Sus scrofa: one gene and its partners. The protein of the gene in region 6 binds, or shares a complex with, the protein of the main gene of each other region. Links are inferred from orthologs where the notes say so. Each region holds a gene or a part of one and is shown on either strand. Other genes may lie near its edges. The genes, in order: THAP3, WDR5, KANSL2, ZNF831, PHF20, OGT and THAP1.

Evidence for each region.
Region 1: OGT (region 6) and THAP3 share a complex: the UniProt entries of both Homo sapiens proteins name them as parts of the THAP1/THAP3-HCFC1-OGT complex. The link is inferred for Sus scrofa from reciprocal best matches to the Homo sapiens genes OGT and THAP3.
Region 2: OGT (region 6) and WDR5 share a complex: the UniProt entries of both Homo sapiens proteins name them as parts of the NSL complex. The link is inferred for Sus scrofa from reciprocal best matches to the Homo sapiens genes OGT and WDR5.
Region 3: OGT (region 6) and KANSL2 share a complex: the UniProt entries of both Homo sapiens proteins name them as parts of the NSL complex. The link is inferred for Sus scrofa from reciprocal best matches to the Homo sapiens genes OGT and KANSL2.
Region 4: the proteins of OGT (region 6) and ZNF831 are in contact, whole or in part, in a crystal structure (PDB 8FUF), measured with the Homo sapiens proteins. The link is inferred for Sus scrofa from reciprocal best matches to the Homo sapiens genes OGT and ZNF831. Residues at the interface, in NP_858058.1 of Homo sapiens: Phe723, Ile734, Met779, Ile787, Ile790, Asn791, Arg792, Gly793, Leu808, Ala809, Thr831, Arg832, Ser833, Gln834, Tyr835, Gly836, Leu837, Pro838, Glu839, Arg877; in NP_001371283.1 of Homo sapiens: Phe937, Ser938, Pro939, Lys940, Tyr941, Leu942, Leu943, Arg944, Leu945, Pro946.
Region 5: OGT (region 6) and PHF20 share a complex: the UniProt entries of both Homo sapiens proteins name them as parts of the NSL complex. The link is inferred for Sus scrofa from reciprocal best matches to the Homo sapiens genes OGT and PHF20.
Region 7: OGT (region 6) and THAP1 share a complex: the UniProt entries of both Homo sapiens proteins name them as parts of the THAP1/THAP3-HCFC1-OGT complex. The link is inferred for Sus scrofa from reciprocal best matches to the Homo sapiens genes OGT and THAP1.

Annotation. Positions count from the first base shown.
Region 1 is NC_010448.4:67,455,262-67,458,774, reverse strand, and holds part of THAP3 (THAP domain-containing protein 3), read right to left. Parts: intron 3,512-3,513; exon of another isoform or gene 3,432-3,511; coding exon of another isoform or gene 3,358-3,431; intron 3,342-3,357; exon of another isoform or gene 2,935-3,341; coding exon of another isoform or gene 2,918-2,934; intron 618-2,917; coding exon 425-617; intron 1-424. UniProt on the Homo sapiens protein: Component of a THAP1/THAP3-HCFC1-OGT complex that is required for the regulation of the transcriptional activity of RRM1.
Region 2 is NC_010443.5:273,573,656-273,577,057, reverse strand, and holds the end of WDR5 (WD repeat-containing protein 5), read right to left. Parts: exon of another isoform or gene 2,755-3,402; coding exon 2,721-2,754; intron 2,552-2,720; coding exon 2,477-2,551; exon of another isoform or gene 2,084-2,476; coding exon 1,996-2,083; intron 892-1,995; coding exon 791-891; 3' UTR 503-790; downstream 1-502.
Region 3 is NC_010447.5:79,302,756-79,307,030, forward strand, and holds the start of KANSL2 (KAT8 regulatory NSL complex subunit 2), read right to left. Parts: upstream 2,814-4,275; 5' UTR 2,768-2,813; intron 2,391-2,767; exon of another isoform or gene 2,366-2,390; intron 2,196-2,365; 5' UTR 2,188-2,195; coding exon 1,937-2,187; intron 520-1,936; coding exon 341-519; intron 1-340. UniProt on the Homo sapiens protein: Non-catalytic component of the NSL histone acetyltransferase complex, a multiprotein complex that mediates histone H4 acetylation at 'Lys-5'- and 'Lys-8' (H4K5ac and H4K8ac) at transcription start sites and promotes transcription initiation.
Region 4 is NC_010459.5:59,275,755-59,280,052, reverse strand, and holds the start of ZNF831 (zinc finger protein 831), read right to left. Parts: upstream 2,812-4,298; 5' UTR 2,408-2,811; intron 1-2,407.
Region 5 is NC_010459.5:39,165,820-39,169,332, reverse strand, and holds part of PHF20 (PHD finger protein 20), read right to left. Parts: intron 1,648-3,513; coding exon 1,534-1,647; intron 555-1,533; coding exon 366-554; intron 1-365. UniProt on the Homo sapiens protein: Methyllysine-binding protein, component of the MOF histone acetyltransferase protein complex.
Region 6 is NC_010461.5:57,519,773-57,523,908, reverse strand, and holds the start of OGT (UDP-N-acetylglucosamine--peptide N-acetylglucosaminyltransferase 110 kDa subunit), read right to left. Parts: upstream 2,812-4,136; 5' UTR 2,663-2,811; exon of another isoform or gene 2,567-2,662; 5' UTR 2,558-2,566; coding exon 2,521-2,557; intron 1-2,520. UniProt on the Homo sapiens protein: Catalyzes the transfer of a single N-acetylglucosamine from UDP-GlcNAc to a serine or threonine residue in cytoplasmic and nuclear proteins resulting in their modification with a beta-linked N-acetylglucosamine (O-GlcNAc).
Region 7 is NC_010459.5:11,770,516-11,774,665, forward strand, and holds the start of THAP1 (THAP domain-containing protein 1), read right to left. Parts: upstream 2,807-4,150; 5' UTR 1,876-2,806; coding exon 1,805-1,875; intron 1-1,804. UniProt on the Homo sapiens protein: DNA-binding transcription regulator that regulates endothelial cell proliferation and G1/S cell-cycle progression.

The DNA of each region.
Region 1 (3,513 bases), on a different chromosome or scaffold from region 6:
TCGTTAACCCACTGAGCAAGGGCAGGGACCGAACCCACATGGTTCCTAGTCGGATTCGTTAACCACTGCACCACGACAGGAACTCCCCATTCTTTTTTTTAGGTCATGTTAAAGTATAGTTGATAGACTGTGGTTTATTTTTAAAGCAGCGTTGGTGTTCCCTGGTGGCTCAACAGGGTTCAGGATCCAGTATTGTCACTGCTGTGGTTCACGTCACTGCTGTGGCACGGGTTCCATCACTGGCCCGGGCACTTCCACATCCACAGATACAGCCAAAACCCAACCAACCAATCAAAAAGATACACAAAATGAACCAGAAATAAAGAAAGCAGCTTTAAGCTGTGGATTCCCTCAAGGACTGACAGGACTTCCCGGGCTGCTGTCCCCGCCCCGGACCCGCACGCCCACCCCCCACCGGGCGCACCTGCGGGGGCCCCTGGAAGGTGAACTCCGTGGGCACCGCGTTGTGCTTCAGGTTCTTGCGGTTCCCAAAGGCGCTGAAGCACTCGGGGCGGAAGTGCTCCGAGCAGATGACCGTGTGCTGCTTGGGCTCGAAGTCGCCTCGGCCGATGTTCAGCACCCATTCCTTTAGCAGCTCTGGGCGGCTGAACGGGAACCTGGGGCACAGCGAAGACGTGACAGGGGTTCGAGAGGCTGAAGGCAGCACCACAGCCTGGGAAATGGGGTAGCCCCATCCTCTAAACCCCATCCATTCAGGAAGCTTCTGTAACGGCAGGTACAGCATCTGTAGCAGGAAGCCTGAGACCATGAACGTGGCCAAAGAGCCATGTTCTGGAGCCGCATTTGCCTGGCCGTCCGTTCCCTGGGGGCGTGGCCATGACGCTACTTTCTAGAACAGGGGGACAGGCAATACAGCAAACACAGACTGTGCTGCTGTAAGTGGTCAGGGACGACCACCTGAGAGGTGACACGGGAGCAGGGAGAGCTGCAAGAACTGGGACAGCGAGCTGTGCGGGTATGAGACGCGCCTGCGTGTGTGAGGAGCAGTCAGGGGCAGGTGTGGCTGAGACAGAGCAAGAGGAGGACTCGAGGACTTGGGCCTGGAGCAGAAGGGGGTTCCCGGAGGCTCTGGCAGAGGGTGACAGACTGAGTCCACCCTGGCTGCTGCAGCCACCCAGGCACCTGGTGGCTGGGATCAGGGCATCAGCAGGAGCAGGCAGACCTGGGATCTATTTTCAAAGTCATGTAATAAGGTTTGCCCGTGGGCCGTGAAACAGAGAAGGAAGGAATTTCACTTACTAAGATTAGGCGGAGGGGAGCTTTGGGGGGGTTAGAAGCTTGGTTTTATATTTTAGATATTAAACCTAAGGTGAGGAGTTCCCTCCGTGGTGCAGTGGTTAACAAAGCCAACTAGGAACCATGAGATTGCAGGTTCGATCCCTGCCCTTGCTCAGTGGGTTAACGTTCCGGCGTTGCCGTGAGTTGTGGTGTAGGTCGCAGATGCGGCTCGAATCCTGCGTTGCTGTGGCTCTGGCGTAGGCTGGCAGCTACAGCTCCGATTAGACCCCTAGCCTGGGAACTTCCATATGCCGCGGGAGCGGCCCAAGAAATGGTAAAAAAGACAAAAAAAAAAAAAAAAAAACCCTGTAGCACAGCAGTGACCTGAGCCACTGCAGTGACAATGCTGGGTCCTTAACCCACTAAGCCACAAGGGAACTCCCCAAGGTGACTTTTAGATATCCAAGTGCTGAAGGTGAGTGATAAGGTAGCATGCGTGCCTGGGGGTATCGCTGTGGCAGTCCCCGGGTAGAGGGTGGCAGAGCAGTAAGTCCAGGTGAGATGGGTGCCCTAGGAAGCGAGTAGGGACAGGGACGAACCAGAGGCAAGCTCTGGCCCTGAAGCGCTCCATCAAGTGCTGAAATGAGGACAATCCAGCCAGACTGAGAAGGGACCCTGTGACAAACAAAGCAGCTGAGAGGTGTCCTAGAAGCCAAAGGGAGAGGATCTCAAGCAGTCAGCGGTCAGTCACGTCAGAGGCTGCAGAGGTCCATTCAGATGAAGATGGACCACTGCACTGAGCACCATAAGGGCCACGGGGGACTTAGAGCGCTTTTGTGGGAGGGGTGGGGACAAGAGTGACAGGAATGGGAGAGAGACCCCAGGCAACGCCACCCCCAGGGACACACCTGACACCCACACACACAAGAGCTGGGAGACAAGTCCCAGCAAAAGTGCCCAGAGCCATGTGCTCATAATGGCCAAAAAATCACAGGGACCAAAGGCCCTTCAGCTGCAGGACAGTTAACCCTGGAAAATACACTCCAGGAACACCGCGCAGCAATGAAAAGGACGAGCCGCTGCGGGTGACCCTCAAGTACAACCCTGAGCAAGAGAAAGTGCAGCCTGGTATTCCACTCCGGTGAGGTTCCCAGCAGGCCAAAGCAGGCCCCTGGGACACAGGCAGCAGAGCCTCACCCCTGAGGGGGCGGGAGAGCGAAGGGCTGGAGGGGGTGGGGCTGCGAAGCCCAGCTCAGGGCAGCCGCAGGGGGCTCACTTTGTTAAGCCGGTTGCGCTACGTGCTTAGGGCCGGTGCACTTTTCTGTATGCGTGTTATATCCTCGCCTTGAAACAGCAAACGCTAACAGGAGGAAAGAGGAGACGAGGAGCGCGGCAGCCCCGTGGACTCCCGCTCTGAACGGGGCAGGGGAAGGGGCCGGGGCTGGAACCTTGAAGAAGGCGTGCAGCACCTGATCGGGGGGGGGGGGGCCGCGTTCCCGCGGCGGGCCTGGCACCCGCAAAGGGACAGACTCCAAAGCCCCGCCATCCTCCCGGGGTCCGGGAAAGGCCGCGCGTCCCGGCCCCGCGCCCCCACCCCCCGGAAAGTGCTCCTTCCTCCACCCTACCCTTCCCTCCCGACCAGAGGCCAGGAGAGGCGAGCGCCCCGCGCACCGCACACCTGAGAGACATCGGCATCTCTCATTCATGCAGCCAACACTGCACCCCTACCACGTTCCGGGCTGCATCTGAGAATGAGAGAAAACCGCCGGGCCGCGGAGGGGACGCACGCCCAACTGCGGGGGCGCTGGGCGGGGCGGCACCCCCAGCCCCGGGCTCCCCCGACCGGCGGGAGGCGGCGCGCCCTTGGGCAGGTGCCCCAGCCTCTCAGACCGCCTCCCCGCGCGCCCCGGCGGCCGAGGCGGTGCCAGACTTCCTGGCCCGGGACCTCCTGGTCCCGGGGCCGCCACCGCTGCGCGAAGGGCTCGGCCGCACGCCCTCGGGCCTCCCTGGTGGCCCGGCAGGGCCCCGGCGCTCCAGGCCTGGGGCTCCGGCGGGGGCCGCGGCCGGGCGGCCCGGGCGAGGCGAGTCCCGGAGTCCCCCGGAGTCCCCGCCCCTCACCGGTGGAAGGTGAGCTGCTTCCTGCGACTGCTGTAGCGGTTGCAACACTGCCGGGCAGCGCACGACTTCGGCATCTCCAGACGCCCGGCCCTGCTGCCCCCAACAAAGATGGCGGCGGCGGGGCCTGCGGGGCGCGGCGGGGCCACCGCGTGGGGC
Region 2 (3,402 bases), on a different chromosome or scaffold from region 6:
ACATCCACAGGCCACCAGCCTGCAGGGGCCCTCGAGCCCGCGTGGACAAGGAGTGGCGCATCCCTCGGACCTGTCTTTTGAGAGGCGTCCTCTCAACCTCCTGCCGACCGCGAGGCTTTCCACAAAAGAGCGAGCAAAGCTCTGTGTGAGAACCCGGCGGCCACTCGCCCAGGCTGCCACCTTTATCACCGCTGGGGCGCTGCCTGCGTGTGACCACCAGAGGGACAAACAGAAGCGCCCAGGGTGACCCCCACGCTGGCAGCACGGGGACAACGGCCCCGATGCCAAAGGCACGTGGGCAGACACGCTGCAGACACGCTGCTTTCGAGCGCGGGCAGGACCAACACCGGGTGGGGGTCCCCAGAGAGGTCACTGGACCCACGAGGGGGCCCCTCTGAGGCCGGGTGGGCGAGGCTGGCGCCCACACACCGTGGTGGCGACTGGTCCAGCACTTGCACTGGGTGATAAAATGCACAGAACAGTTACTGGAAAAAAACACAACTCGTGATAAATTGAACTTCACCTTTTGTAATAAAAAATTAGAAATTTCTGTGGCCTCCGAACACAATACAGACTCTAACTCTTCCCCAGCCAACAAGACAGGCATTGGCAAGAATCGCCACCGGCAGCTCCGAGAACCTCTGCGGAGGACACGGCCCTCGGCCAAGCCGTCCTCGGAGGCGGCGCAGGCCCAGGCGCCTCCAGTCCCCAGGCCTGGACCAGGGAGCCCCTCGAGCACCGAGCTCTCGCCAGCCCGGCTGGGCGTCCCGACAGCCCCGCGCCCGCGGGCCTAGCAGTCGCTCTTCCAGAGCTTGATGGTCTTGTCGTTCTCCAGCGCGGCCGAGGCGATGATGTTCTCTGTGGGGTGGCAGGCCGTCGAGATGACCACGTCTGAAAGCAGAGGCACCACGGTCCCTCCGCGGCCCCGCCCCGTGGCCCCGCCCCGCAGCCCTGCCCCGCCCCAGGGCGTCCGAGCCCAGAGCTCAGGTCACCAGGCCTGGACAGTGGGCCGCGAGGTGCTCAGCACCGGCCTGGGCCCGGAGGCTGCCCAGCGCCGAGCCCAGAGACTGGGGCCCCTCACAAGCCAGAGGCACAGCCGGGGTCCGTCTCACGGCATCGACATCGCGCCCTCTGCACCGGGACCCAAACCGGCGCACCCACGCGCTCCCCGCCGCGGAGCAGAGGACGCCCGCAGGGCTGCGCTGCAAGTTCACCCCCGGGGCTGGCGCCTGGGGTCCGTCAGGTTAACACTTTGCAGCTCTGAAATTAACTCAGCCCCTTGGGAGCTCCCATCATGGCTCAGCGGAAAGAAATTTGACTGGTATCCATGAGGGCGCAGGTTTGATCCCTGGCATTGCTGTGGCTGTGGAGGAGGCCAGCAGCTGCAGCTCTGATTCAGCCCCTACCCTGGGAACGCCATATGCCGCAGGTGCGGCCCTAAAAAGACAACTGAACCCCAGAATCTTCCCTCTTGCCTGAGTGGTTTCAAATAAGCCTGAGCATCCTGCCCACAGCAGGGCAGAAGCAACAGGCCAGGTGCGGAAGCTGAAGGCCAGCACGGACCTCCAAGCTCAGGCCAGGACCTCAGGCAGTGGCGTGGCTTCCTTAGGCAGAGTCGCACACTCTCATCAGACTCTCCACGGCTGGACACCACTCTGCACTGAGCAGGAGTGGGGAGGGCGGGGGGGGGGGCTTAGGGGCTGCCCAGGTACTCCACACAGGGGACAGGAGCGGGCAGGAGGTCAGAGCCTGGAAAGGAGCCAGCCGGCAGAGCAGACGGCAGGCAGCCCGGGTCCCTGTACCATCTCCACGGGGACAGACCACAGGGCCCACAAGGACGTCAAGGGCCGGAGGAGAGGTTAAAGCCACACTCGGGCTCGGCCTGCGGGCGCTCAGACCCACAGCTCCAAACAGAGCCCCCGGCTCCCAGGGGGCCGAGGAGCAGAGGCAGGAGGATGCTCACAGGACCTGGTCCCTCCGTGGGGGAGAGCTCACCCGTGTGGCCCTGCAGCTTCTGCACAATCTCTTTCGTCTGCAGGTTCCAGATGTAAACCAAGTTGTCCTCCGAGCCCGACACGATCCACTGTCACGGGGCGGGAGGGTGTCAGGCGCGTGCCTGGGGACCAGCAGTACCAGCACCCCTCCCCGTGTGGGTCTCCGCCCATCTCCTGTCCCGATGCCGCACCAGCACCCGCCACTTCTAGGACATAAACTGTTTGCTCCAATCAGGGCTGCCGTCACCATCTCCCCCGCAGCCTGAGCCTGAGAGGCGGGGAGCCCCGGGGACCAGACGCCAGAGCCTGCCAGGGTCCCTGACTCCCAGAAGGTGCTGACACCCTCGGCATCGCAAAGGAGCCTGTGGCCCTGAAGAGGACGCAATGGGAAGGCCCGCTGAGGATGCCACCAGCGGGGCTGCACTGGGTTAAAAAGCGCCCCAGAGGGGCCGGGGAGAACCCCCAGCAGGGACATGACTCACCTTCCCGCCAGTGACAGAGAAATTCGCGAATATGCAGTACTTCTCATTCTTGTGGCCGGTGTACGTCTTCAGACACTGAAACAGCAGGGCCCGTCCGCTCAGTGGCGCCCCCCTGCACCCCGGGGTAACCCATCCAGGTACCTTTCAGCCAACGGAGCCGCTCTGAGCACAACCCACCCCGGCCCAGCCGTGGCCCCGGCCCCAGCCCCAGCACGACCCTCCGCCAGCCCGTCCCGGCGCTCACCTTCCCTTTGCTGTAGTCCCAGAGCTTCAGCGTGCTGCGGGGAGAGGGCGTGTCAGCCGAGCCCCCGAGGACCCACCCTCTCCGGTGCCCGCGCCCAGCCCAGGGTCCACAGAGCAAGGACACCTGGGAGCAGAGCGCGGGAACCCCAAGACACTGTTTTTCACTTGGCCTCGGCCGAGGCGTGTGCAAATTCCTGGGCCAGGGATCGAACCTGAGCTACTGCAGTGCCAAGTCCTTAACCTGTCGAGCCACACGTTAACTCCCCAAGAGGCTTGGTTAAAGGAAGCTACTAAGCGTTCCCCGAGCCGGGAAGGGGTCCACGTCCCTGCGAGAAAAGGGCTCAGGAAGCCCCATTGCGGACACGTCCAGAACAGACCTCGGCGGACAGTCCTTCCTCCTCCTGTGGGGGCCGACCCTGTGAGCCCACCCGAGGGCTCCCACAGTGCCCGGGGAGGCCGAGCGCCAGCCGCCTCCAGGAGGGCAGTGGACGGCCGGGACACCCACCCGAAGCGTGTTAGGAGCAGGGCGCCCGGGCAGAGCGGGCAGCACCGGGAGGCCGCCATGCCCACCATCCCAGCAGGGTGCCTACATCAGCAGCCTGCACCCAGCAGGCTCCGTGCGGGCACTGGAGCGGGTGTCTTTCTGGGATCCTGGCCCTGGGGCGATGGCCCTGGTAACCCGC
Region 3 (4,275 bases), on a different chromosome or scaffold from region 6:
AATACCTAAAACATTAATGAATTAACTATGCTCTCAAAACAGAAAGGCCAACTCAAAATGATTGTTTCCTGAATTACCTTACCTAACAAAGATGTTAAGTGTAAAAACAGCAATGAAGGAAGCAGTCATAAACTCAAGAAAGTAAACCTAAGCAGATACTACTTAAAACCAGAAAGATTAGTGAACAACACGGCATTCCTGAATTCTCACCAAAGGGCAAATGAATTAACAATAATACTATTTTTATCAAGTGCCAAATATGTTCAAGGCACTGTGCTAAACCAAATTATATTTTTTGTTAACTTTCTTCCTATTTTCTCACCCTAAAGAAGTTTCTTACCCAAAATTCGGCTGGCTTCACTTCGGCTACTTTCTGGAGTCTGAGACCCCAGCTCTGTCTTAGCATATGAGCTCAGCTGGCACAAGAGTGTTTCACCCACAGGCCCTGGATTCGTCTTCTTCATTTGAGCATGAAGTGCTAGAGCATTCCTACGGGCATGTTCAGCACAGAAGGACACCCTAAGGAGATAAAATATTCACGTTTATACTCAGGTTCCTTCCTGAAGGAGTTCAGTGATTTTTAGAGACACTGATCATTAGATTATTTTCAGGAAACTAAAATGACCATTGTCTTCATTTATAAATTAAAAATGTCAATGAGGCAAAATAAATTAACTGGCCCAAGACCAACTCATTTGGTATTACTAAAGGGAAATGCAGGTAACAAAACCTAGTGCTCTACCCATTAAACAAAACATTCCAACTATAAAAACGCTGACATTTCACAACATCATCAGAGATCCACTTCCATCTTTCAAACTGGTTCTGGGAGCTCCCATCGTGGCGCAGCAGAAACTAATCCAACCAGGAACTGGAGGTTTCAGGTTTGATCCCTGGCCTTGCTCAGTGGGTTAAGGATCTGGTGTTGCCACGAGCTGTGGTGTAGGTCAAGACAAGGCTCGGATCCTGAGTTGCTGTGGTTGTGGTATAGGCCGGCAGCTGTAGCTCCATTAGACCCCTAGCCTGGGAACCTCCATATACCATGGGCGCAGTCCTAAAAAGACAAGGGGGAGAAAAAAAAAAAAAAAAAAAAAAGCCTGGTTCTGGAAGGCAACTCTACATTTTACTTCAGTATCAATCCACTGTAGGTAAAAGGATATGAGACACAATTTTAAAATCAAAAGATACAGACAGAATTATCTATGTTCTGCATGGATACTTTTGCTTAATTGATGAAAACCATTAAGTCTTTCCAAGAAGAATACACACACATAAAACGTGCATGGCCAAAAGAGCCATGCAACCTAAGGTTAAGAATAACCCAGAGGGAGTTCCCCTTGTGGCTCCGGTAACAAACCCAACTAGTATCTATGAGGAAGTGTGCTAATCCCTGGCCCCGCACAGTGGATTAAGGATCCAGCATTGCTGTGAGCTGAGGTGTAGGTTGCAGAGATATGGCATGGCTGTGGACCTCTAGTCTAGGAACTTCCATATGCCTCAAGTGCGGCCCAAAAAGGAAAAAGAAAAAAAGAAAAATCTAGAGTGTCCCTTTATTTTACAGGTACCAGAAAAGATCCAAAGACATTTAACGAAGTGGCCCAACTGAGAGTGGTCTCCTTCCAGTTTTCACCATTTTAAAAAGTTCTCCAAGGATATATCCATAACCTCAATGTTACAAGCATGTGACCAAAGAACTGGCCAGCTATTTCCCAGCCCACATCACTTAAAATCTAAAAGAACAGAAGTTCCCTGTACTTTTGTGGCAGGCTGCAGGTTAAGGATCCCGCGTTGTCACCACAGCAGCTGGGGTCGCTGCTGTGATGCTGGTTCCATCCCCGGGCCAAGAACTTCCACATGTCATGGACATGCCCCCAAAAAACAAAAACAAAAACCCACAATGAAAAACATAAAAGTACAGATATCTATACATATATACCCGTCTTTCTTCTCAGGCTTCGGAGCAGCACAAGGACATCTTTTTCCATTCTTTGTGGATATATAACTGCACTGCTTGAAAGGTGCATTCTTGTCTTCAAGGATATGCTTAATGCAAAACTCCTGCCCCTCCAGACGAGGCTGCGAGCATGGGCGATGAGTAAACGAACAAGACAAGGGCTCCTGAGACCTGGGCACTGGGGTGATCCTTCCCCGATTGGTCGGCAAGACGTGGATCCGAATCCTGTTCATACCAAAACCTGCAGGGTCACACAAAAGATCAAAAAGCCCTTCCCGAAAATTCCTGCCCCACAGTAACCAGGCAGACGGCGCGTGGCTTCTAAAAGACAAGCGGAAGTCACGCTCCTTAACTCCCTCCGCCCAGGTCTCCCAGCCCAAGCCTCCCCGGGCATTAGTGAATTTGCCTCACCTCAACTTCCCCCGCCAAGGCCGCCCCACGCCGACCACCACCACGGAGACTGTACGGCCGCCGCACGAGGGGGCCGCGCCACCGCCCGCACGAGGGGCCGCGCCACCGCCGCACGAGGGGCCGCGCCCGCGCCCCCACCCCCGTCTCCGCCTCCCGGCTCGCCGCCTTTGTCCCGGTCCGCCTGAGACCTCACGCCTGGGCCCTGCCCATCCTTGGCGGCGCCTGCAAGCGCCATTTTGTCCTAAGTCTCCGAGCACCGGAGAACCCAAGTCCTGGGAGATTATAAGAGGAGAGCGACCCTGACGTTGATTGAGGGAGCAGGGTAGCAGCTCTGAATGGGGAGAAAGGGCGAAGTAGTACCCCGAAGGCAAAGGCGAAGAGCAAGCAACGCCGCCATCTTACCTCCGCCGCGCGCCGCGCTGCTGCCTTCTGGCCGCGCCAGCCGCTTCTAACGCGGCCCCATTCCTTTCCCGGCTCCCACTCGCTGATTGGGCACGACGCCTACGCCTGTGCGTCACCATTGGCTGAGGCCAGCTACCTATCAAGTCTTAGGGGGCGGGGCGCTAAGAAAAGGCGCGGCTTGGGTGGCTGAGAAGAGCTGTCCGTCATCAACTTGCTCATGAAAGTGAGGCGGAGCTGAGTGCGGGCTCGGGGACCCGCTAGCAGCGCACGGTTTGTCTTTCCACCTCCCCGCATGGCTGATTTTCAGGTCGATTATGGCCGCTTTATCTGTGCACTAGGCCGCAGCTACACCACCACCGTTACACGGTAGGCACAAAATCGACAGGGAGGCCAAAGGATCGTGGTACATTTGACTCTTACTGTTTATACAGTAAAAGGCTTAGTTTTGTGAAAAGTTAATTTACGGAAACATTTTTTGAGTATTTACTGAGTCTGGAAAATTATGTATATAAACATTTCTTTTCAGAACAGTCCTAAAAAGTAGAAGCTATAATCTCCATTTTACAGATAAGATAACAGAGGAACAGAATAGGCTCGTATCTAGTAAACAGGGAATGGAGACAAATTTGAACCAGCCCTCATTCCTTTATTTTTTTTTTTTTTAATACTATTTCTGCCGCACCCGTGGTATATGGAAGTTGGTTGGCCAGGGAATCAAATCTGAACCAGAGCGTCTACCTACATCACAGCTGTAGCAACGCTGAATCCTTAACCCACTGTGCCAGGCTGGAATCACAGGCACCTGCAACAGAGACAAGCCAGATCACTAACCCACTGCTCTATAGCAGGAACTCCACGAACCATTCCCTCATTCTTTATCCCTTTATTCCTGGTCATACAGTGAAAGGCATTGGACTGAGACTTGGTAAATATGAGTTATGGTTGAGGCCTTGATTCTCTAAAATTCTGTACAATACCAAGCTAAATCATGCAGGTATATAGAAAAGGCAGGCACAATTCCAATTTTATCGTCCTTTAAGGCTTTTTAATTAAAGCATCTCTTCTTTCATCTCCACCACACCTCTGGCAGAAATAAAACAATTTGGGATCTTTTTTGCATCCCAAGCTTCACAAGCTCTCCTAGCTGTTGTCAGTTTCATTTAAGTAAGCTATTTTTCCACTACCAATGAGCAGGTGAGCATAGGGAATCTACAATGCTGGGGAACAGCAGTTTAGATAAAAAGAAGTGATTAAAACCAAAATAGGGGAGGGCTTAGAGGTGACTTTTCCCAGGGATTAGGGCAGTCCTAGAAGGCCCTTGCATGAGATTTGTTCATTCAGCAAATATTTACTGAGCACCTAAGTGCCAGCCAGTACAGATATAGAGAGAACAAGAAAGATAATCCTGCTCTTTTGGAGTAAACATTCTAGAGTAGTTTGGGATTACGGATGCAATACAACCATTAAATAGCAACTATGAGTTATATACATATGCTAACCCTCCCAAC
Region 4 (4,298 bases), on a different chromosome or scaffold from region 6:
GTAAAGAAATTACAAAGCAGCAAAGGGACGCCAGGTTCTTGGCACCAGGGGAAGCTTTCTCTTGATTTTCTAGTGGCAGCCCCTGGTGGGGTCTCAGACACACTGACCTGGAAGGGGCCAGAGATTCTCGTTCCCAACAGAGAGCCCACCCACTGGCTCATCCATCACCTCTTCTGGCCGAAAACAGCTGTTTGCCACCCAGATCCACCCAACGCTGGCTGCTGAAGAGGCCCCGCAAGAGGCTGTGACCAGCCATGCTCAGGGAGTGTGGTGTGGTCGAGGGCGGCACTCGCCCAGACACACGCAGCAGAGATGGGTGGGCCCGGGACCCCTGAGTCGGCGGTCAGGGAAGAAGGATCGACCCCAACCTCTTGGCAAAACGCCCAAGGTCAGGGCCCCGCTGGCTTACACACTCTCGGGGGCCTGACCTTCTTCCCTGAGAACTTGGGAAATCCAAAGATGGCAATGCTTCCAGAGGACCTGAAGAGTGGCTTGGCCAGGGGTCATCAGAGACCGCCTCTGTGTCTCTCTGGTCAGCAGAGAGGCCAGCCACGTGTCCTGGGGACTCAATGGGTTGTCCATGCTCCTGCGTTGGACGGACCCACCATGAATGAACTTGACAAGGACCACACATAGGTCTCAACACATGGCTCTGGAAGCCAAGTTGTCAGTGGCTGGGTCTGACTACAGGATCGGGGTGGGGGGGCGGATATTCTGATTAACTTAAGGGAGTATGAGGGGTGTCCTTCCAGTTAGGGGCCGTGATGTCATCACACTTTCTCTCCGACCTAATAACTGTCGCCAATGTCCAGAAGCAGCCATCCCACCGCTCAGCTGCCGCGTGGCCTTCCGTTCCTCACTCCCGCTTGGCGCCCCAGCTGGCTGTTACCCTGCTATTGCCTGGGAGACCGCGGCACCGTGCTCATAACATCTCCTGCGTTTACACCGCTCTTCCGATGCACAGCCCGGGCCGTGAAGGATGAACAGGCGTGATCGGGGTAATGAACCCCAGACACGATTCCAGCCGACATCTGATCAACCCCAGCCCCGTAACTAGTTCCTGCTAGACTATCGCACTTTGTCCAAACCTGTTTCGGAAATATGCTTTGTCAACATCCCCCACTCGGGGAGTCAGCAGCCCCGTTCTTGTTCTTGTTCGTGGTGGTAGAGTGGGCCCCCAAACCCTGATCCAACCTCTTTTTTCCCAATTTCAGCTTTGCACAGCCTTTCCTTTTTGGAAAACAAAGCGCAACAATGGCAGCTCTCCCTTGGCCAGTGGCCAGCCAGCCAAGGGCTGGAGCCAGGAGATTAACGGATACACCCGGAGAGGGCCAGGTCAGAGAGCAGAACATTCTGGACACACGTTTGTGTTGGAGACCAGACCCTGAGGCCCGCGAGCCCCGCACGTGAAGGTCAACACCTCCTGGTTTGAAGGACAGGCTGAGGCCCTTCAGAACCTGTGGATGAAACACGCCTATGACATTAATTAATGCCAGGCAAAATGTAACAGCAGATCTTGGCAACTAAAAATAGACCTGTGCCATCTGATTCATCCCCTGACTGCACAGAACTCGGAGCTCCTTCACCGGCCTCTCTGCTCCCCGCGCGCCGCTTCCCGGCCTCGCCCTCGGCCTCCATCTTTGATCCTCTCCTCCCGCCCAGCCAGCGCCTTGAACCTGCCGGCGGCAGCGGCGGCGGCGGCGGCGGCGGCCCGGCTCGGCTCCCCTCCGACCACGGGCAGGCTTCATGGGCCGGGGGAGCGTTTCTTTTCCTGGCTCACATGGTGGCGAGCCACGCAGTCTGGCCTCAGTCCTGCCCGTGCGGGCGTCTCTGCCGTTGCATCACACACACAGCTCCACGGCTTCGGGGCCGTTCCAGCCCCTTCTATTTTAAACTTTGTTGATTTCTCCTGGGAAGGAAGCCTATTTCATACAGATTAGCTGGACAGCTGGGTCGGACTGCTTCTGATTACCGGGCTTGGGGCCACTGGGGAAGCAGGTTTCCCAAAGCCCCTTGGACGGAGACGCGTTCCATAGGGTCCCCAAGGACGCGGTGCGGGGTCAGCGCTCGCTCGAGGGAGGAAGGTCAGCGGCCCCAGTTGGAAATCAACAGGTCAAGCCCAAGGCAGGGTCAGACCTCCGTCTGCATGGCAGGCTCGGGAGGAAGGCTGTGCGGAGCGGTGGAGGAGGGGGCACGGGAAGCCCCCTGCTTCCAGAGCTCGCGCGGGGCCCTAAGTGGGGGCTTGTGTCAGAAACCAGGGCGTGTGCTGGGGAGGAAGCATCCATCATGCTTGCCTGAGATAATCACTCGGGAGGCGACAGACAAGGCTCAATGATTCAGGTCCCTTCATCTGGCCTTGCCTCCCAGACCTCCAGGAGCACAAAGACATCACAAAGACCGCTCTCACCTTGACGTGGTCAGTCCACAGGCAGGTGGGGGCTGCCGCGCTCTCCTGCAAACCGGTGGCTCCGACGAGGCAGGAGCTCTCTCCCTGCACGTCCCATCTCTGCCTTTGCTGCTCTCTATGCTTCTCTAGAGGAAACCGAGGGCTGGCATTTGTTTTAATTGTGTGAGTGGAGGGTGGGGGGTGTCGGGGGTGCCCAGGCGGTGTGGGGCGGTGAAGGGACACGGGGGGAGTGTGCAGCCTGCCCTGGTGTGGGTTCGGGTTGAATGGCCGACGCCCGGGAGATGGTTTGCCTGCTGGAGCTCCGTGTGCTGCAGCTCTGTGTGTGGGCGGCGGCAGCTACACGGCTGGGTTTCAAACCATTACATTGAACATTTGCAAACAGATAAAAAAACAAAACCATCCGGTACGAATGGAAACTTGTTTGCCTCTCTCTCTCTCTCTCTCTGCGCTCTCTCCCTTCCACCCCCCACTTGGGTTTCGGAGGAGGTGGGTGAGGGTGGGCATCGCCTGCTTGGCGCTCCCCCAGCCCCATCTCTTCCAGCCATGCCACCCAGCCCCACGGCCACGAGCACGGACAGGTGGGTCAGGTCCTGGACATCAACCCCCTCGGCGTGGGGGATCCCCAGACATTTGAGAAGGATTTTTCTCTTCCCCGGGGTCTTGCCCAAATTCCAGCCAGAGCGCCATTACGCCCAAGGAGGACCTGGGTGTCCACACCTGGCCATCTCTTATCCTTCCTAGTTTCGAAGCTACCTTAGACCTGGCCAGCGAAGAGGGGTGAAGCACACTCTCATACCTGACGAGACTTCCCAAGGCATTCTTTCCGAATGGTTGCGTGAGATACTCCATAAAAAGGGAGGGGAAAAAAGTCCTCTGGTCAAATTTCTTTGGGAACTGTTGCATCCTGTATTGCTCTGGGATAGTTCAGTGTTCAGGCGAAGGCTCTGAGAAGTTCTGCAAAAGAGGATCCTACTAAACTTTGTTTAATCCAACATTTCCAAAATGTGTAGATTTTAGGTGAAAGAATCCTCTCTGCGCACCAGTGACATCACCCACACACATTCATACCTGCCTCCTTTCCCTCCCCCACCCCCCCCCACCCCCAGCGGTGGCCTGACCCACATCTACATTTTCAGGCAGAGAGCAGGAGGGGACAGGCAAAGAGAGATACTGGGAGCCAGGTAGGTCAAAGGTCGCCATCTTAGGCTACACTGGACTTGTTATTAACTCAGGAGCCCCAGGTGGTTAGCAGTGAACTTGAGACTGTGGTTCTGGCTGGACAGGGAACATGAGGGAAGCAGATGATCCCTCAGGGCCCCGGGGTGGAGGGGAGGGGGGGTTGTCAGTGCACCTTCTCTTCCACCCCAAGGGGGTCCCTGGTCACCTCTGCAGCCCACGGAGGGGAGCAGCCTGTGGCTGGGTGCTGACCCAGGCTGGTGCAAGAGTCCTCTGTTGCCCTGTCCAGACCTCCACTGGGCACTGTACAGATCAGGTGACAGGTCTGATCCTGGACAGCATGAGACAGCAGGCAGAGGAATGGAAGCATGAAACATGTGAACTCTGAGAGAGGCATCCGTGTCAGAAAGGGCCTTTGTACAACTATAAATGTAATAAAATTCATTGAGTAATTTAAAAAAAAAATGAAAACAAATCTATTTCTCCAACATCTCTCTCATAAACTCAAAATGGATTAAAAAAAAGAAAGAAAGAAAAAGAAAAGAAAGAGCCATGATGGAAGGGCACGCAGGAGGTTGGGCTGGGTTGGGGGTGCGCTCTGCTAGATTTGGGGGCCACTCTGGCTCATCAGAGTCCGCAGACCCCAGCACTACAGCTCACCACCAGTGGAGTCTTGGCCCAGCTCTGTGAGCCTTAGCCACCTCATCTGAAAAGG
Region 5 (3,513 bases), on a different chromosome or scaffold from region 6:
AGGTTGAGGGTTCGATCCCTGGCCTTGCTCAGTGGGTTAAGGATCCGGCGTTACCATGAGCTGTGGTGTAGGTCGCAGATGCGGGTCGGATCCTGTATTGCTGTGACTCTGGCGTAGGCCGGCAGCCCCAGCTCCAATGGGACCCCTAGCCTGGGAACCATCATACGCCACGGGAGCGGCCCTAGAAAAAAGCAAAAACACAAAAAAAAGAAAAAAGAAAGAAAGAAAGAAGGCAGCCAATTCATTAACTTGATTTCAAGACCATCTAAAACTTGTATGAAGCTACTGCAATGCTTGGTTTAGATTGGTTCGCAACAGAGAGGCATCAGGTTGGCAAGACCAATCCAGAATAGACTCTGACTCACCTTTTTCAGATTCCTTGGTACCGGTTGATGTGTTTTGCAAAGTATCGGTATTAATCGTATCAACCAAATCTGATACAACCAAGTCAGGGTCTAGGATCTCATGGGTCCCATTAGTGGACAGCCTGGAGGACCGTCTCCTTGATAAGTCTTTGTCAGTGTTTTCCGAGTAGTTTTTTGACTTTTCCTGGGCTATAAACCATTAAGAGAGTTGTAGTCAAGAAACCCGAAGAAATAACTCTGCTACTACAGATTTCTGGACCAGGTGCCTCTATAAAGGCTTTACAGAGGGACTTTAGAATATCAGATCTGTGATGAAAGGAAATACCCTATCCTGCTTTATAATTTTAAGTAAAGTGAAAAGGCCCAGTCTTTCTGCCAGGATATAATTTTCCTAACTTAATGGATTCATGATCTGAAAATACGTGCCAAGGTCACATCCCCATCTTGACAAATTCTGTTTTGGGGCTTTCCAACATAAAAGTCTATGATGAATTTCCCAAGTTACTAAGATTTACAGAGCCTTAGAGCCATCACAAATCTTTTTTGAAGCCAAAAGGGTATTTTTTTTTAAAAAAATCAATAAATCATTTTTTGTTTTTTGCTTTTCAGGGCCGCACCCACAGCATATGGAAGTTCCTGGGCTAGGGGTTGAATAAGAGCTACAGCTGCTGGCCTACACCACATCCACAGCCACGCCAGAACCAAGCCAGCCATGTCTGTGACCTACACTACAGCTCACGGCAACACTGGATCCTTAACCCACTGAGTGAGGCCAGAGATCAAACCCGCATCCTCATGGATCCTAGTCAGGTTCGTTAACCGCTGAGCCACGAAGGGAACTCCCTAAATTGTATTTTTAAAGTTTCACTTGGCATATGATATCCATCCCTTCCTAAAACATTAAATTTCTAGTAGAATGCAAATCAAATGTAGTTTATGGGTATGGAGATTACATCCCTGAACCCAACATTGATACAGCTTGTGCTCTGGGATTTATTTTTCCTTGAACAAAACTCCTCTGATCCAACCACATCCCACTCACATCTGTTCCTGTGATCAAGGACAACAAGCATCAGAGCCTATAAGGAATGAGTGACATCCTGGATATAGGGGAACTAACACAATGACTGTCAAATTCTAATCACACAGACACAAACTGAGAACTCACATGAATTTTTGTCAAGCCGAGGACGTTTTATGGGGACTTCACTTCCTTTTGATATTTTCCGTCTTCTCAGTTCCAACGTTATTGGTTGCAAAGTTTGACTGTTTGAATCCACAGCTACAATGTATATAAAACCATACAAAAAAAGGTATGTAATTTCTTAGTGACCAATCTTCACATTATATATAAATAAAACATACATATATATATATATACACACACACACATCCTTGTTTGATAAATAAGCTCTCAAAGGGTATTTTTACTTAAGCTAAAAAGAAAAAAAGATGAGAATTTTTTTTTTTTTTTGTCTTTTTGTCTTTTCTAGGGCCATACCCTCCGCATCTGGAGGTTCCCAGGCTAGGGGTCTAATTGGAGCCGTGGCCGCTGGCCTATACCAGAACCACAGCAATGCCGGATCCAAGCCACATCTGCAACCTACATCACAGCTCATGGCAACAGATCCTTAACCCACTGAGAGAGGCCAGGGATTGAACCCACAACCTCATGGTTCCTAGTCGGATTTGTTAACCACTGAGCCTTGACGGGAACTCCAAGAAATTTTTTTCTTATAGGAGATGCTGATACCTACAGACCGACCTCCTGAATTTTTTTGGTCTCTCATATGACCCAGCTCTAGTCATAATACTTATCTCCTGAAACCCTCTCTTTAAATATCCCATGACTGCTTTAAAATATGAAGGTGGAGTTCCTTTGTGGCAAAAGTTCAACCCCTGGCCCAGGAGCTTCCAAATGATGCAAGCACAGACCAAAAAATAAATTAATTAAAAATAAAATAAAAGATGAGAATAGAGGAAGTTCCCTTGTGGCTCAGCAGGTTAAGAATATAGCATTGCCGCAGCCTTGGGTCACAGCTGCAGTGAAGGCCTGGCCTGGGAATTTGATCCCTGGCCTGGGAATTTCTGCATGCCACAGGCAGAGCCAAAAAGAAAAGAATAAATTTTTTTTAAATATACGAGGATGGAAGGGCAACAGAAAAGCCATTTTTTATCACCATCAAATCTTCTCACCAAAATATAGCTTATCCAGTACTCAGGAAATCCATCATGCTGGCTAATTCTTAAAAGGTGTACCCTGGGACTATGGCTTGATTATTATTTTCAACCTCTACTTCTAAATTGGTTAGCTTGGCATTGGTCCTCGTTTTGAGGACCTTTTGAAAACAACTCCAGAAAAAAACTCAGGAGTCTATGCTATTTGTTAGTCAGTGTTCCTGGCAAGGGTGCTTATCACCAGCAAATCCAGCCCTGATATAATTTAGCAGTTCAGAAGCTAAACCTTTATACAGTGCTCACTCCTTATTTTTAAACCTAACACTTAAGAAGCTCTCCCCCTCCATGGAGGTTCCACGTGGCTCAGCAGGTTAAGGATCCAGCATTGTCACTGCAATGAAGTGGTTCCCTGCTGTGGCCTAGGTTCAGTTCCTGGCTTGGGAACTTCCACCTGCCACAGGGGTGGCCAAAAAAAAAAAAAAAGAAAGAAAGAAAGAAAGCAGCTCTCTCCCTTTGGGAAAGATGAAAATCCAAAAGGCTAAGAAATAAAACAAAAGAAATTGGGAAGCATGAGGGAAAGGTAGGGCTAGGGGGTCTGATGAAGGTTGAAGAGACAGAAAGAAGCAGCAAGGAGAAAGAAGAGGGAGGAAAGGAAGCAAGTGGGTGGGAAAGAGGAAAGAGAAGGCTCCGAGACCAGTAGCTTCAGATCTGCCATGTCAAACGGCCAAAGAAGGCAGGGCTGAGCTCTGAGGAGGCAAACCTGATGAGAAAGCTAAACTCCTTGGCTCTTCCTGCATTCAATCGTCCCAATGTGCCAACATTATTTTGTTCCAAGGGTGGGAACTTGGAGATCACACACATTCCAAATTAAACACAAACAACCTTCCCTAAATAGCTCATATCCTGTTCCAATAAGGTCTGCACAATCTAGAGAGCTCAAGGCTCCACTGTGTCAATGAACTTATTTCAA
Region 6 (4,136 bases):
CATAGTTAACATACAGAAACAAAGTATAAAACATGTGATTTGCAAGGTCACATAGAGTTAATGTCAGAATAACCTACTGGGAAACTTAACACTTTGTCCCTTGTTTTAGGTTGGATTTGTGGGGGATGGGGTACTGGTAACAATCTATCTCTTAACCTGGGTGGGGACAGCAAATGCGTGTTTTACTCTTAAAATTATACTGTTTTTTGTTACTTCACAACTTAATTTTTTAATTATTTTAAGGGCGACACTAGAAACAAACATAAGGGGAAAAAAAACTAAAAGTCAAGGTGCTATTTTTAAAACAGCTGATAAACAAAATGGATTCATCTGTCAAGAGCCAAAATATTAAAGGGGTCATCAAACATTTTAAATAAAGACCCAAGGTTATATTGTTCCTCTACCACCCCCAACTCACACTGAGACCAATTTAGCTAAATCCCACCCACACTGGTTTAACACCAGCATTTTCCAAAAAGCTCTGGTGCTGACTAAAGGATTAAGACATTGCAAACAACCTTGTATAAACCAAGCAGTTACTTAGAACTGCAATGATTTTTTTTTAAAGAATGGGAAAACGATAAAATATAAAACCATTTGATAAAGTGCGACAGGATGAATAATAAATGAAAGCACTTTGCTGTGTGTAAGTGACTTGGTTTAGATACATAAAGATAAGGGGTGTACAGCTAAAGCCCAGAGAGGGAAAACAACAACAAGCTGCCTAAGACTCAATTGTAAATACTTAAAACAATGATACATTACTGGGAATCTGACCACAGCACTTTCCCTAGATAGAGTGGGAAACCATGTACAAATTATATAAAATTCTACCAAGGTCTATGTAACAAGCTCAAATTTGAGCCTAGACCCCCCAATCGTTAGAGCTGAGGAGTGAACTGTATTCTCAGGAAAGCTAAGTAAATTCCCTAAGAGGATGCACAGCCAGCTGACCACTAACATAAGAGAGACCTGCATCCAAATCTAGGGGACGTTATATCTCTAATAGAAACTAAAAAATCACTAGACAAGCCTCTAGAACTTCCGAGCTCCTTATTTTAACACATTACTTTATCAATTTTTCAAAGCCGCTTATCTGCTATTTTAACACTGGAAATGACAACTTCCTCAAATAAAATAACACGTAGAAAAGGGCAAGCTAGTACAGAAGAATCTAGGACAGAATCTTAAATCTTTAAAAATCCCTGAGAGGGAGGGGAACACTAATTATTAATCCCACTACCTACGATCATGGATGAGACACAATTGAAGATTCACTTCTTACTGCACAATGTCCAAAAACAATTAAAAAAAAAAACCCTGACACATCTCAACTGAGGGAACCAACCAAAAAATAATAATAATAATAACCTCGTGGGAAACCTTAGAACCGCAGCCCGGTCCCCCCCCCCCCGCTCCAAATAGCCTCAATATGGAAAGGCAGACGAAGGACACTCCTGTAATTTGGTTGTTTTCTTATTTTTAGTACCAAATGCTCTCGACTAATTGTCTGAAAGGGCAACCGCCTTGCTCTTGTGCAGCTACACTCCAGTTGCTTTACAAACTCTTCAAGCGGGGATGAAAACTTAAAAAAAATACACCCCCTATGAATAAAGAAATACCGGGCTAAAGAATGGGGATGAAAGACCCAGAGGCGGCGGCGGAGGAATACAGGGAGAAAGTAACACAAAGCGAGAATCGGGCGGGCAGGGTGGTCAACGCCAAAGCCCCGGCACCAGGGTGGTTTCTCCCCAAGGGTAGGAAGTGGACCGCAAGGCTGGCAACCTCGCGAAGGAAAGGGTGTGGTTCCCCGCGGGAGGGGAGGGAGGTGGACAGGGTGGGAAATCCAGGCTGGGGGCAGCGGGTGGAATCGGACGATGGCAAAAGGAACCCCTGGAAATTTCCAATCGAAACCGGGGCCGCTCGCTCAACCGAAAGCCCGGCAGAAAGGCGCTGCCCGGCGGGGCACTGCTCAAAAGCCCCTGGGCTCGAGATTACTCGGAGCACACCCAGGAGCCTGGGCTCGTCCTTGGGTGATGCAAAGTGAGGATACGATTACATCGGACCGGCACCCCCGCCCTCGATTGACAGAGGAGCACCAAATTGGGCTAAGGGGAGCAGGGTGGAGGAGGAAGAGGAGGGGGCGGTGAGCTGAATTAAGGGAGAAAACGACTGCCAAGGAGAGTGAAAGGCAGCGAGAAGGACAGGGATTCCAATGCAGTCCATTCCGAGACATTCTAAGCGCGCACGTGTGAAAAGAAGCGTCCCGAGAGAGTAGAAGGCTAGCAAATGTATAGGATTACAAAGCAAGAAAGGAAGCGAAAAGCCAGCAAGCAAGAGGAAATGTTTGAAGAACGGACGACAGCGGAAACCCCGATCAGATGCCGGCAGACGACGAAAAGCTCAGCGATGCCACTGATGTAATGGGGATGGCTAGAGGGAAGGAAGGGAGTGATGAGAGGCAGAGGACGGCGCGAGACCCCAAGGGGGCGTCTGCCAAGGTAGAAGGGACACCGGTACCTGTGCTGTCGGCCACGTTGCCCACGGAAGACGCCATCTGGAGCTTCTTTAGGAAAAGCGAGAAAAGGGTAATTGAGTCCCGCTGCCGCCACTACTGGCAAGAATGTTTCTAGAGGTAGTAGTAAGAGGGCAGCAGCCGTACCAGTGCTTTGGCAGGCTTAAGAGGCGGCAACAGTTACAGGCTTCGAACCTTAAGAACTCTGGTTGGCCATCTACCTCTCACGGTCTTGAAATGGCGGCGACGGCTCCTCGGCCGAAACAACACGGGCCGGAACTACTTTCTGTTACAATCAAGTACCAGCGCGGAAGTAGCGCGGTAACCAGCGCAACCAACAAAATGACTATAATCAAAGTCACTTGCTCCTATGTAACCTTCCGCGCAGGGCCCATTGCGACAAACACGATTGTGTCGAGAGCGCATGCGAGCAACCCTGTCAACCCGACCCGGTTAGGGCACTGTCTGGGGCGGGAGCGTCCAAGTTTTCTACTAGCGGAGCGGAAGGGTAAAAAGAAACGTATACACAGGACGGATACATTTTTGCCGAAGTGGGGAAGTCTAGTCTATTACCGAGCCAGGAATGTAGATTTTTAAGAGATGCCAAAGGCGTCTAGAAAAGTTTCATCAACTTTAGTCGTACGGAAAGGAAGAGTTACAAGGCTGTTGAATCAATTCTAAGTAAATTTAAATGGCTAGATTTCCAAGGCTGACGTTTAAAACGGTGGCAGAGAGGGTTTCAATTTGAATACGTCTTAGTTCTGATTCCAGCCATTGATTTAAACACTTTGATGAAAAAGTTTCACAGGGCCAAATGAACCCAAGAATCTCACGTTTTGGCCATATAGCCCGAAATTTCCAAAACCTTTTGGTATTCAGGATAGTTCTACCCAGAGAATTCCGTAGGGCAAATGCTTCATAACTCAGGGACTCGCTGAGAGTTTGCACTCCAAAGCAGCAGCCATAAAAATGTTAAAGATGATTCATATTCATCAAAATCCACGACTCTCTTCTGAATTGTGATTTCATTTCCACCACATAGCTTTGCAAATCGTTACAAACGGTGATAGCATTTAGCTCAAGGCAGCTCAACAATGATAAATGGATTCATTTGCCATCTACCTAAACCACACATGCAGATTGAAACTAAATTGCCTCTACTTCCTTGAACAAATCAGTTCTATATGATCCTCCTGCAGTTTCAAGTCCACTGTTTAGACATTTTGTCACATTGGTATTAATTTATATCTCTTGTTCCAGAAAGGATTTAAGGTAGCTTGCCACATTCACAAGAAATTATTATAAACCAATGGAGGCAACAAGTTGCATCTCTCAGAGCCTCTTTTATTAATTTAAAAAAAAAGTCCTTGATCTAAGAAAACAAGTCAGTGAATTTCTTCAAAACATTTCTACTACCTAGCCATCTGACCACACTAAAAAAAAAAAAAATCCTCAAATTTTGCTTCAATTCCTTCAAGACAGTTCACAAACTGTTAATTATAGATATGAGCACCGAGGAAATTTGTAGTATTGATCATTTCTTCCATCACATCCATAATTGAAAGTCAGATGCTGTGAAAAAGGCAAAGTTCACTACACAAACTCTCCTAGAAAATGTGCA
Region 7 (4,150 bases), on a different chromosome or scaffold from region 6:
CTAACCTTATTCCAAAAAAGGGCACATCCAGACTTTCCTGCTTTGGAAGGAACTAGCTTATACTGGTGTTAACACACCAATGAGTATTTGATGAAAATGCTAACTTTGCTCATTTTTGGGGGACAGTTTTTAGTTGTGCCTTTATTACCTTAGTTTGTTAAAAATGGACTTGTTTTGGAGTTCCTGCTGTGGTACAGTGGGTTATCGATCCAGCATTGCACAGCTGCGGTGTAGATCACAGCCACAGCTCGGATTCAATCCCTGGCCCAGAAACTTCCATATTCTCCCAGTACTGGTGCAGTGATTAAATTAAAAAATGTACTTGCTTTAAAATCCTATAACTAGAATTCCCGTTGTGGTGCAGCCGAAACAAATCTGACCAGGAACCATGAAGTGCGGGTTCGATCCCTGGCCTCGCTCAGTGGGTTAAGGATCTGGCGTTGCCATGAGCTGTGGTGTAGGTCACAGATGTGGCTTGAATCTGGCATTGCTGTGGCTGTGGCGTAGGCCAGCAGCTGCAGCTCCAATTCCACCCCTAGCCTGGGAACTTCCATGTGCAGCTGGAACAGTCCTTAAAAAGACGAAGGAAAAAAAAAAAAAATTGGAAGGTGGGTAGCTGAACAGCCTGCGATGGTGTCACCACCTCCAGACCTACTCCCTTGACTTTGAAAGTACTGGAGGCCAATCCATCAGCTTTCAGAAATTCTAATAAATCAAGAGTAATATTAAGATATCACCCCCTCAAATGAATCTGGAAGTGTTGTGTTTCTCCCCTTAGAAGGGAAACAGCAACACTCTCAAGATTTCTCTATGCTCCCTCAGCTCTCTAGTGTTACACCAAATGTACAAAAATGTATCCACATTCCCTGTTAAACATAAAAGGCCCCACCCTCCAAACTGAAGGAATACTTAAGATTTTGCTCTTGAAATTATTTCGCTATAAATCGTATAATTTATCACTGGCTTTTATTTCTTTAGCTATCATCCATTTACGGTTGAGATTATTGCAAAACACTTTTTATGTGATAACATCTGTAAATATAGAATTTGGCTGAATGAAAATGCCATCGTGCAGACATCGGATTATCATTGTCACTCTACTTTTCGGCTTTCTTTGGAGAGACCTGTTTCCTCCTAGGACCTCTAAGGTGAAACCGGCCCTAGAACTGGGAACGTGTCCCCCTCCGAGGGCTTCTTCCAGGTCCGTGACAGCCCGGCTGATTTTATCATGCACAGTGTACCACTACTGCCCGTTAACATAGTGTGCTCAGCCTGGAGCTCTCTCTAAAACTCAGCAGTCCTCAGGAGCAGAGTCCAAAACATCCTCCCTGAAATCCCGCCCACGTCAATGCCTAAATGCTGTGATGCTGGACTCCCCCCACCGCAGGGGATCAAAGTTCGTGACTTCCCGGCTGTTTCCTCTTCAACTTTACGGCTAAAGTGGCATTACTACCTGGCTTCTCTACGACCCTGGTGGTGAGACCCAGCTGCCTCTCGGTCTGGACACCCCACGACTCACGGGAATTCTAGGCTTCGTGGGTGGGCCGCGAACTAGCTACCCTGAGCTCCGCTAGAAACTGGAGCGCGAGGAACAGCCTCCGCGGCGACGCAACCGAGAACGCGCATCCCGGGGCGGAGCGCCGCGGGTGACGCCAGGGGCACGCCCACCGCTCCCCGTCCCAGCGCCAGACGGCGCCCCGCCCCTCCCACTAGGTCTCGCGCGGACACGCGCCTGGCCCCGCCCCCGAGCAGGGCCGCGCGCCCCCAGCCCCTGCGAGGCCCAGGAGGCGCTCAGGATACTTACTTGTGGAAAGAAACGGGCTTGTCCTTGTCATATCGGTTCTTGCAGCCGTAGGCGGAACAGGACTGCACCATCCTTCCGGTCCTGGTTACTTCACTTCTGCCGCCCCAGCAGGCAGTTGAGGCTGCTATCAATGTCGTCGCGCTCGACTTTGACACCCTCTCTTCTTCCGTAGCTTTGGTCAACAGTTACAATGACGAGAGGCTCACTCGGGAGCGACTAATGTGTCCGTTTTGTTGTTTGCATTAGCAGAAGGACCACAGCCATCGCCCGTCTCCCGTCTCCAAGATGGCGGAGACAGCTTCAACCTCACCTCTCGCGAGGCGTTAGTCCTACTGTCTCTTGATTAGCCCTGAGGTCAGAGGTAACGTTTCTTGGGAAGCAGGCCATTGGCTGAGTCCCGCCGCGCGGCGGACTGAGCGTTGCGGAAGTGGGCGGGGCCTCCGAGCTTCCGGAAGGAAGGAGTAATTACCTGGGAGAGGGGGGTGGGAGCGCAGGACCGATTCCGCCCCGGCGGTGCTGCTTGGGGTTACTTATGCTGGGCGGTTCAGATTCGCGGCACTCTACCGTCTATTGGGTCTGCTGGCCTGAAGCAGGACAGGTGTAAAGCTGAGGTCGTTGCATAATTGCCTTGTTTCTCTAAAAGGGCGGTCCCAGATGGCGTGATGTGTAAAACTTGGTGGACTCCCTTCCCGGCCCGCTAACCTCTCTTACCTGCTTCAGGTATTCTGAGGCTTTGCGGAGCCCAGGTGAAGAGTTTAGCCAGGAAAGCCCGCACCTGCACACACCGCGAGCCCAGTCTCTAGGGGCTTCTCTCACTAATGCTGCAGTTATCTTAATGATCTCCAGGTGCCGTGTTGGGACTCGCCAACAGCTGCAGCCCTTTTGGCCGGCTCCTTTCGTCTGTGTCGATAACGGGCTGTTGAGTAATCTCATGGCTCATAATTTCTTTTTTTTTAATTGGTGAGCAAGACTAGCATAGGCCCAGTCTTCGTAGCTTAAGTCCTAGTAAGGGGAAACAGACAATAAAAATGTAAATAAAATCACAGTGTGCTCAGGTGCCTGAATACATTAGAATGCCGAGATGAGGGTAGTAAGGAGAGGGTCACTGCCTACTCTCTGAGAAGGGAATGTTAAATCTGAGAACCAAACAACGGGTCGGGGGGAGAGGGTTTCTGCCACAAGAAGTGCGTGCTAAGGCCTGGAGGCAGTAAAAAGGTCTGTCTTCTAGGAACTGAATGGGGCCTGCAATGGCAGAGCCCAGTGAGTGGGTGGGGGCATACTGCAGCGTGAAGCCGCTGAGCCATTTTAGGCGGGGAGAGACATGATCTAATAAACGTTTTTAAAAGGCCATTCTGGGGAGTTCCCGTCGTGGCGCAGTGGTTAACGAATCCGACTAGGAACCATGAGGTTGCGGGTTCGATCCCTGCCCCCACTCAGTGGGTTAACGATCCGGCGTTGCCGTGAGCTGTGGTGTAGGTTGCAGACGCGGCTCGGATCCCGAGTTGCAGTGGCTCTGGCGTAGGCCGGTGGCTACAGCTCCGATTCGACCCCTAGCCTGGGAACCTCCATATGCGCGGGAGCGGCCCAAGAAATAGCAACAACAACAGCAAAAGACTAAAAAATAAAAAAATAAAAGGTCATTCTGGCTATTATGCCAAGAATTTATCAGGGAGGGGCAACAGTGAGTGAGCAGACCAATTAATAAGAGCAGACCAATTAAGAGGCTGTTGCAAGCAGACAGGAGATTGGCAACTTTGGACCAAGGAGTAGATGCCTATGCTAACAGGTAGAAACACCAGGGCTTGCTGGTAGTGGAAACAAGAATGAGGAAGACACAGAGTTCCCACTGTGGCGCAAGTGGAAACGAATCCGACTAGGAACCATGAGGTTGCAGGTTGGATCCCTGTCCTGCTCAGCAGGTTAAGGATCCGGAGTTGCGGTGACCTGTGGTGTAGTTCGCATACGCGGCTCGGAAATGGCGGTGCTGTACCTGTGGTGCAGGGCGGGCAAGCTCTAGCCCCGATTAGACCCCCTAGCCCGGGAACCTCCGCATGCCTCGAGTGTGGCCATTAGTGGCCCTAAAAAGACGAAAAAAAAAGGAATGAGGAAGGAGTTCCCCCTCCCTCCTGGCTCAGTGGTTAACAAACCCGACTAGTATCCGTGAGGACTCGGGTTTCAATGGGTTGAGACCCGGTTGCTGTGGTCTACCTCACGTGTTTCTCGGATCCCAATTGCTGTGGCCGTGGCTAGCAGCTACAGCTCCGATTAGTTCCCTAGCCTGGGAACCTACATATGCTGCGGGTGAGGCCCTAAAAGGAGAAAAAAAAAATTAAGATAAAGATATCA